2 linked regions of the Oryctolagus cuniculus genome follow. The protein of the gene in region 2 interacts with the protein of the main gene of each other region in a pairwise test. Links are inferred from orthologs where the notes say so. Each region holds a gene or a part of one and is shown on either strand. Other genes may lie near its edges.

Evidence for each region.
Region 1: the proteins of PCBD1 (region 2) and TFF3 interact in binary tests that used the Homo sapiens proteins (3 or more experiments, as listed by UniProt). The two-hybrid records come from large-scale screens. The link is inferred for Oryctolagus cuniculus from reciprocal best matches to the Homo sapiens genes PCBD1 and TFF3.

Annotation. Positions count from the first base shown.
Region 1 is NC_091435.1:3,229,081-3,232,826, reverse strand, and holds TFF3 (trefoil factor 3), read right to left. Parts: upstream 2,643-3,746; 5' UTR 2,612-2,642; coding exon 2,530-2,611; intron 1,489-2,529; coding exon 1,342-1,488; intron 417-1,341; coding exon 403-416; 3' UTR 240-402; downstream 1-239. UniProt on the Homo sapiens protein: Involved in the maintenance and repair of the intestinal mucosa. Promotes the mobility of epithelial cells in healing processes (motogen).
Region 2 is NC_091446.1:62,317,241-62,320,986, reverse strand, and holds the start of PCBD1 (pterin-4-alpha-carbinolamine dehydratase), read left to right. Parts: upstream 1-884; 5' UTR 885-1,016; coding exon 1,017-1,019; intron 1,020-3,746. UniProt on the Homo sapiens protein: Involved in tetrahydrobiopterin biosynthesis. Seems to both prevent the formation of 7-pterins and accelerate the formation of quinonoid-BH2. Coactivator for HNF1A-dependent transcription.

The DNA of each region.
Region 1 (3,746 bases), on a different chromosome or scaffold from region 2:
AGCCCTCTCCCGGGCAGTGGAAGCCCCTCCCCCGGGCAGTGGAAGCCCCTCCCGCCCTCCTTGCCCCTCCCCCGGGCAGTGGAAGCCCCTCCCCCGGGCAGCGGAAGCCCCTCCCGCCCTCCTTGCCCCTCCCCCGCGCAGCGGAAGCCCCTCCCGCCCTCCTTGCCCCTCCCCCGGGCAGCGGAAGCCCCTCCCCCTCCTTGCCCCCGAGTGCCGAGGAAGAAAGGGAACTGGCGGGGTGATGAAGGGTCCGTGCCGGGCACGGGTTCTTTATTCTCTAGACATCAGGCTCCAGGCATTAGGTTTGGCGATCGCAGCAGGCAGGAGGCGGGGAGAGAGAAGCGGGGTGAGCAGGGCGGGAGGGGCCTCACACCCGGGGACCCGGCAGGCCGCAGCTGCGCTTCAAAACGTGCATTCTGGAAGGAGCACGGAGACAGTGTGGTGAGCGGCTCGGCTCCGTGCACAGCTCCTCCAGCAGCGCAGGCGCCCAGACCATGCCTAGAGCTGGGGCGCGCGCCCCCAGGTCCCCGGGGAAGTGGTGAGCTCCTAGCGGGTGGCCTCGCAACCCACCTCAGGGGCTACTGAGGTCCCTGGACGCAGGTGGTCAGTGCAGGTGACAGAGGGCGGGGCCACCAGCCAGTGCTCAGGGGAGAAGGGGGTCCCAGCAGGGACGGCAGGAGGCAGGGGACAGCCGGGGAAGAGGCAACCTCGTCTCTTGCCTTCTCCCCGGAGTTGTTGGCAGGGCGCAGGGGCTGGGGCCACCCTCAGTGCCTGGGATCGGGGTGACCTGGGACTCGGCCTCTCACTGTTATCCCGGCACAAAGGCCAAGAGTGGCCCCTCGCGGTGCTGACGGCCAGAGTTGTCCCCCTGGGAACGTCCTCCGTGGGCATGGCACCTGGCTGAGGGCCGTCAGCCACGCCCAGAGTGGGTGGGAGGGGCCGGGGCCCACTACCCCTCCCAGGAGGGGTCCCCAGGGGCGCTGCCCTGCTCGGCCTGCAGCACCGCGGGAGGGGAGAGCCACACCATCACGGTGGGGCAGCTCCAGGGCTGCTGCCCGGCTCAGCCACTGCTGCCGTCTCCCAGCAGCCAGGCTTCCGTGCCCCCCACCCCGTCCTGGGACACCTGTTACCCCGGGCCCCTCCACCTGAAGCCTTCGCTCAGAGCACGTCTGTGAAGCTATGGCTTCGACATGAATCAGAAAGGGGACAGCCACCAGCCGCGGCTTCCCTGGGCGTGGACGGCACTGGGAGGCCTCCTCCAGTGGACGGCGCTGAGGACCCAGGCCCGTGGGCAGCTGTCTGGGGACCTGGGTCTGCACGCGGGGCCGCGCTGGGGCTCACCTGTGTCCTGCAGGGGCTTGAAGCACCAGGGCACCCCGAAGATGCTGGAGTCAAAGCAGCAGCCCCTGCTCTTGCACTCCTCCTCGGTGACCTGGGGGTAGCCGCAGTCCACCCTTTCTTGGGCCGGGATGACGCACTGGCTGGCCGCTGCCCCAGACAAAGCCCAGTTAGCTGCCAGAGCCCCTGCTGGCGTGTTCTTGCTTCATTTTTTTTTATTTGAAAGGCAGAGTTACAGAAGAGGCAGAGAGAGCGTATCCATGCATTGGCTCACTCCCTAAGCAGCCCCCACAGCTGGGGCTGGACCCATCTGAAGCCAGGAGCCAGGAGCTTCTTCTGTGTTTCTCACGTGGGTGCAGGGGCCGAGCACTTGGCCCATCCTCCGGGGCTTTCCCAGGCCACAGCAGAGAGCTGGAGCAGGAGTGGAGCAGCCGGGACTGGAACAGGCTCCACAGCTGCAGCTTCACCCGCTGGGCCACAGCACCAGCCTCTGCTTGCTCCACTTTGCAGGTGATGGCTCTGTCCCCACGAGAGGGGCTTCCCACATAACGCCTAAAAGGAGGCCTCCTGGACGGTGTTTGCAGTGTGCTAAGCCGTCAGCTGCAGCGCTGGCATCCCACATGGGTACGGCTGGAACCCCGGCTGCTCCACTTCAGACCCAGCTCCCCGCTAATGCGCCTGGGAGGGCAGTGGAGGATGGCCCAAGCGCTCGGGCCTCTGCACCCACCTGCGAGACCCGGAGGAAGCTCCTAACCCAGCCCTGGCTGTTGCGGTTGAGATTCTCTCTCTCTCTCTCTCTCTCTCTCTCTCTCTCTCTCTGTGCAACTCTTTCAAATAAATAAATAAATCTTTAAAAAATGTAAAAGTGTTCTGGGAGGTTGGTTTCTCTCCTGCCTTTCCTGGTTTGCAATTGCGCCAGATCAAAAATTCATCCAGAAACCCCTGGTAGGACGGCGCTGGGCAGGGGCGGGGCAGGGCGAGCCCCGCAGCCTGCGCTCAGCCCTGCCTTGCCCTGGGCCTCAGGTTCCTGGCAGGGCTTTTGCAAGAGAAAGCCCGCCTGTGCCCAGCGGCGCAGACGAAACAGAGGACGGCGTGTCCGCCTGCGCTGCTCTGAGCCCAGGATGGCGCCCTCGGCCTGGACCCCGCCCGCCTGCCCGGTGCTGGCCCACCTCCCCAGGAGCCAGTACTCACACAGGCCCAGGTCCTCCCCGACAGAGCCCGAGGACCCCAAGGCCAGGATGAGCAGCAGCAGCCAGAGCGCTCGGATCCCCATGGTAACCGCTCCGGCTGTGGGCACGCAGGAGTGCCAGCACCCGCCGCCGGGCCCATTTGTACCCCTGTGTTTGCACAGCCACCGGGACTCTGTTTGCTCTGGGCGGAGCCCCACCACAGCCCCACCTGTTTCTCTCCCGCATGCCACTGGAAGCCCCCAGAAGCCCGCGAGGTGTGTGTGTGTGTGGTGTGTGTGTGTGTGTGTGGTGTGTGTGTGTGGTATGTGTGGTGCACGGTGTGTGTGTGTATATGTGGTGTGTGTGTGTGGTGTGTGTGTGTGTGTGGTGTGTGTGTGTGGTGTGTGTGTGTGTGTGGTGTGTGTGTGGTGTGTGTGTGTGGTGTGTGTGTGTGTGTGGTGTGTGTGTGTGGTGTGTGTGTGTGTGTGTGGTGTGTGTGTGTGGTATGTGTGGTGCACGGTGTGTGTGTGTGGTGTGTGTGGTATGTGTGTGTGTGTGTGTGTGGTGTGTGTGTGTGTGTGTGTGTGTGGTGTGTGTGGTGTGTGTGGTGCATGGTGTGTGTGTGTGTGTGTGTGTGTGTGGTGTGTGTGGTGTGTGTGGTGTGTGTGGTGTGTGTGGTGCATGGTGTGTGTGTGGTGTGTATGTGTGTGTGTGTGTGTGGTGTGTGTGTGTGTCCCAGCCCGCACTGCCCCGGGAGCAGCAGCACGTGGGTTCCCTGCGTCTGCACAGGGCTGTGTTGCCCGCCCCAGCGGGGCTGCAGGAAAGGCCGGGGGCTCGGGTGGGGCTGTGGCTCCCGCAGGGACGTCAGTGGGCCGGGCTCAGCCCTCCCACCCCGGGAGCACAGCAGAGACCCTGGCCCAGGCCACCGTCCAGACCCAGCCTGCTCCGCCTCTCGAGAGCTGGACTCTGCAAAGGCACAAAGCCCTTTCTCTCGTCTGGCTTTCTTTCCTTCTTCTTTTATTTTTAAGATTTATTTATGTATTTGAAAGGCAGAGTTACGCAGAGAGAGAGAGAGAGGTCTTCCATCAGCTGGTTCACTCCCCAAATGACCACAACGGCTGGAGCTACACTGATCCAAAGCCAGGAGCCAGGAGCTTCTTCTGGGTCTCCCACGCGGGTGCAGGGACCCAAGCACTTGGCCATCTTCCACTGCTTTCCCAGGCCACCAGCAGAGAGCTG
Region 2 (3,746 bases):
AGGAATTCACCCTAGAAAACATGAAAGCACGTGTCTACACAAAGACTGCAGGAATGTTCACAGCAGCTTTGTCTGTAAGCCAAAACTACCCAAATGTCCGTCAACAGTGAATTGACAAATTGGAGTTCTGCAATATTAACAAGGGCAGACTTCATAAAGTTCATGGAAAGTGGAATTAAAACAAGTTTATTGGGGCCGGTGCTGTGGTGTAGCAGGTTGAGTCGCCACCTGTGACAGGAGCATTCCATGTGGGCGCTGGTTTGAGCCCCGCTCCAGCTCCTGCTAACACGCCTGGGAAAGCCGCAGAGATGGCCAAAGTGCCTGGTCCCCTGCCACCCATGTGGGAGACCTGGATGGAGCTCCAGGTTCCTGGCTTTGACCTGGCAGCTGTTGGAGCCATCTGGGTTGTGAACCAGTGGATCCAAGATCAATCGCTGTCTCTGCCTCTCAGTCTCTGTTACTCTGCCTTTCAAATAAAGATATAAATCTTTTTAAAAATTAAGTTTATTTTGGTGCAAAAGAATACTAACTGCATAACAGTTTCTTATAACGTGCATTTTCCATGAACTTTATGAAGCTCCCTCTAGTGGATGTGTATGGTCTATTCACATGAAAGAAACGCAGGTGTGGGGCCTCGGACAGTCGGGCAGAAGGGAACTGGAGGGCGGGGTGTCCCAGGGCAGCCCTGTGTCAACACTTAGCAAACTGTGTATTTAAAACCTGTGCAGTTTATTGTCTGTCAATCACATCTGACTACAGAGGTTTGTTTTTTCAAGTTGGATGATGCGCGCCCGGGGTCTTAGCATCACCCCAAACCTTGTCACTTGCATGCGGAGTGTCTCTGTGGGCGAGGAAAGTGCTGGAAGGGAGCCCAGCGGAGCCCAGCCCGCTGTTAATCATTACCAGGGGGCGGCCCGAGCGCGGCCCCGCCCCAGGGCGGCCACAGAGCGCCCGACCGCTCGCTAGCTCGCTAGCTGGGCCGCCACCTGCTGCTGCCCGCCCGCCTGCGCCGCGACATGGTGAGCGGAGGGACCGCCGCGACCGCGCGCGGGGACGCGGTGCGGGTAGGGGAGGGTCCCCCAAGCCCCTGGCAGGGCCACAACGGCCGGGCTCGGAAAACTGGGGTCTCCGCCCTAGTCCCGAATGCAGGCGGTGCCCAGGGAGAAGCTGAGGCCAGCAGAGGGGCGGCGACCCGGGCCTACCGCCCATTCCCAGGCCCTGCTCGTCCGCCGGCGACGCGCGCGCGCTGCAGTGGCGCCTGCGCTTTCCACGGGCACAGGCGGCGGCGGAGGCGGGGAGGCTGAATGGGTGAATGGTCTGGCCGCTGTCCCTTCTCGCTCGCCTGCTGTGCGCCTGGCCTGAGGCCTGTGCCCAGCGGCAGGGGGGCGGCGGCGGGCTGGGGTGGAATGGGGTGGGGAACCCGAGGCCGAGCTGTGCGGCGGGGCCGGGGGTGTCTCCCTCCACCCTACGCAGTTTCTCCACAGCTAGACCTGGAAGCTGCACCAAGCAGTGCATTCCTGGCCCAGAGGGCTCGGGGAGGGAACGTGAGTCCCCAGAGATGCAGACCTGGGTGATCAGTAACCCCTCCACACACTCCGCTAAGCCTGCCGGGTGATCGGCAAACAAGGCCGCTACCCGCAACTGCATCCCAGAGTCCCAGGTAGTACCACTTGGAGGGCTCTAGCAGGCTCTAAAGAGGAAGGGGGCTCATGGATGTCCACCCACCCCTTTCAGCACCAAGAAAACGTATCGATGCCTTGGCTGAAGGTTGATGCTGGAAACACGGACCTAGCTGCAGCCACTGGGAATGGGCAGCTGGACAGGAGGCTGCTCTCTGGGTGGGCGATGCAGGCGTGTGCAGCGTCTCTGCTGCCACCTGGAGCCCACGGGAGAGGGACCAAGCCCCACAGGTCTAGAGAGCACAGGTCTTCAGCATAAGAATCCTGCAGCCCTGTGACCACCCCAATGCTGCAAGCCCCCCAACACACACACACACACTGCTTACTTGCCCAAGGAAATATTTTTTAAAGATTTATTACTTGAAAGTCAGAGTTACAGAGACAGAGGAGAGACAGAGGTCTTCCATCTGGTGTTTCACTCCCCATGCAGCAGCAAGGGCCAGGACTGCGCCAGGCAAAAGTTAGGAGCTTCATCTGAGGTCTCCCACGTGGGTGCAGGGGCCCAAGAACCTGGGCCATCTTCCACTGCTTTCCCAGGTACATTAGAAAGGAGCTGGATCAGAAGTGGAGCAGCTGGGACTCATACCAGCATCTATAAGGGACGCCAACATTGCAGGTGGCAGCTCTGCATACTACTCCACAATGCCGGCCTCAGAAAGTATTTTTTTCAAATGCGGGTGGCATTGCCTAACAACAGTGCAGTTTACTGAACTGTATCTCACACCTCTGGAGCCTCCTGTCCCTTTAGTCATGAAGCCAGAAGAGGTGACTGCCATATTGCCACATGGCTGGTAAATGGTGGAACCGGGGCTTGCACCTGCCCCACCCACTCAAGCCAGGTCATCCATTCTGTTGGCTGCCTTCCTTCCATCCACACCTAAGTGCTGGGCTCTCAGTCTAGCCCTCCATCCATTTCTGCCCCTGGCACGACTCTGGGCTCCCTTAAGCTCCCACACCCAGACCCTCCTAGGGCACAAACTGACCCCAAACTGACCCTTGCTCCCTTGTCTTCTCTGAGGTTCCACTCATGGCCTGAACAGTGCCAATGTGGGCCGCCTGGAGGGCACTTTGCACAATAGGTAAATAGGACGGGGCATTGGATTGGCCAGTTGTCCTTGGCCAGGTTACTTCTGCTCTGGGGACTGGGCCCGGGGAGCCGTGTCCCAAGCTTCAAGAGAAAGCACGTAGCAAATCTGAGACCTAGGCCTGGCAGCTTGGGCCCAGAGGCCACATGGTACCGTGGTGCAGTGTGGCTAAGTTCCTGGAAGTTGGGTCCAGCCTCGGACACTGGCACACAGACCACACTTTGACAAGGCTGCCTGTGCCATCACTGGGCTGGGGGTGACGGGAGCAGTGCCCAAGTGATCTCCCCTCTCTAGGCCCCGGTTTCCTCTTTAGCACACCTTAGGGTTCTGGGGAGGGCGTGGGCTACACAGGATGGTACTAGAGGGAGGCAGGCTGGATCGGGGGAGTACTTCCTTCCTGAGCGGTTGTGCTGGGATTCATTTGCATGGGACAGAATTTTGCTTTTCCTTTCTCATTAAAGTGATGACTCTGAGTTTGGGAGGTGGGGGTGGCTGGGATGCAAATTATACTTCCTTTGGGATTTTCTTTCTCTGAGTGTATTAGACCTGAGAACCTATCAGTGAACAAGCCTCACTCTGCCTCCTGGGCAGGTGCCACCTTGGAGACATCCCAGCCTGTGGCCTAGAGCCCAGCTGCCCTTGGGTCATGCACATCCAGGGCAGCCAGTGGAGGCAGGCTAAAGGCCCTCAGAGGGGGGCAGCATTGTGCAGCAGTAGGTTAAGCTGCTGCTTACATCCCATAGCTGAGTGCTGGTTCAAGTCCCTGCTGCTCAGCTTCTGATCCAAGTCCCTGCTAATGCGCCTGGGAAAGTAGCAGGTGATGGCCCAAGTGATGGCCTTGCCACCCACATGGGCGGCTCGGATGGAATTCCAGACTCCTGGCTCCGGCACGGCCCAGCCTCAGCTGCTGCAGCCATCTGGGGAATGAAACAGCGAATGAAGCGCTCTCTTTCCCTCTCTGTCACTCTGCCTTTCAAACAAA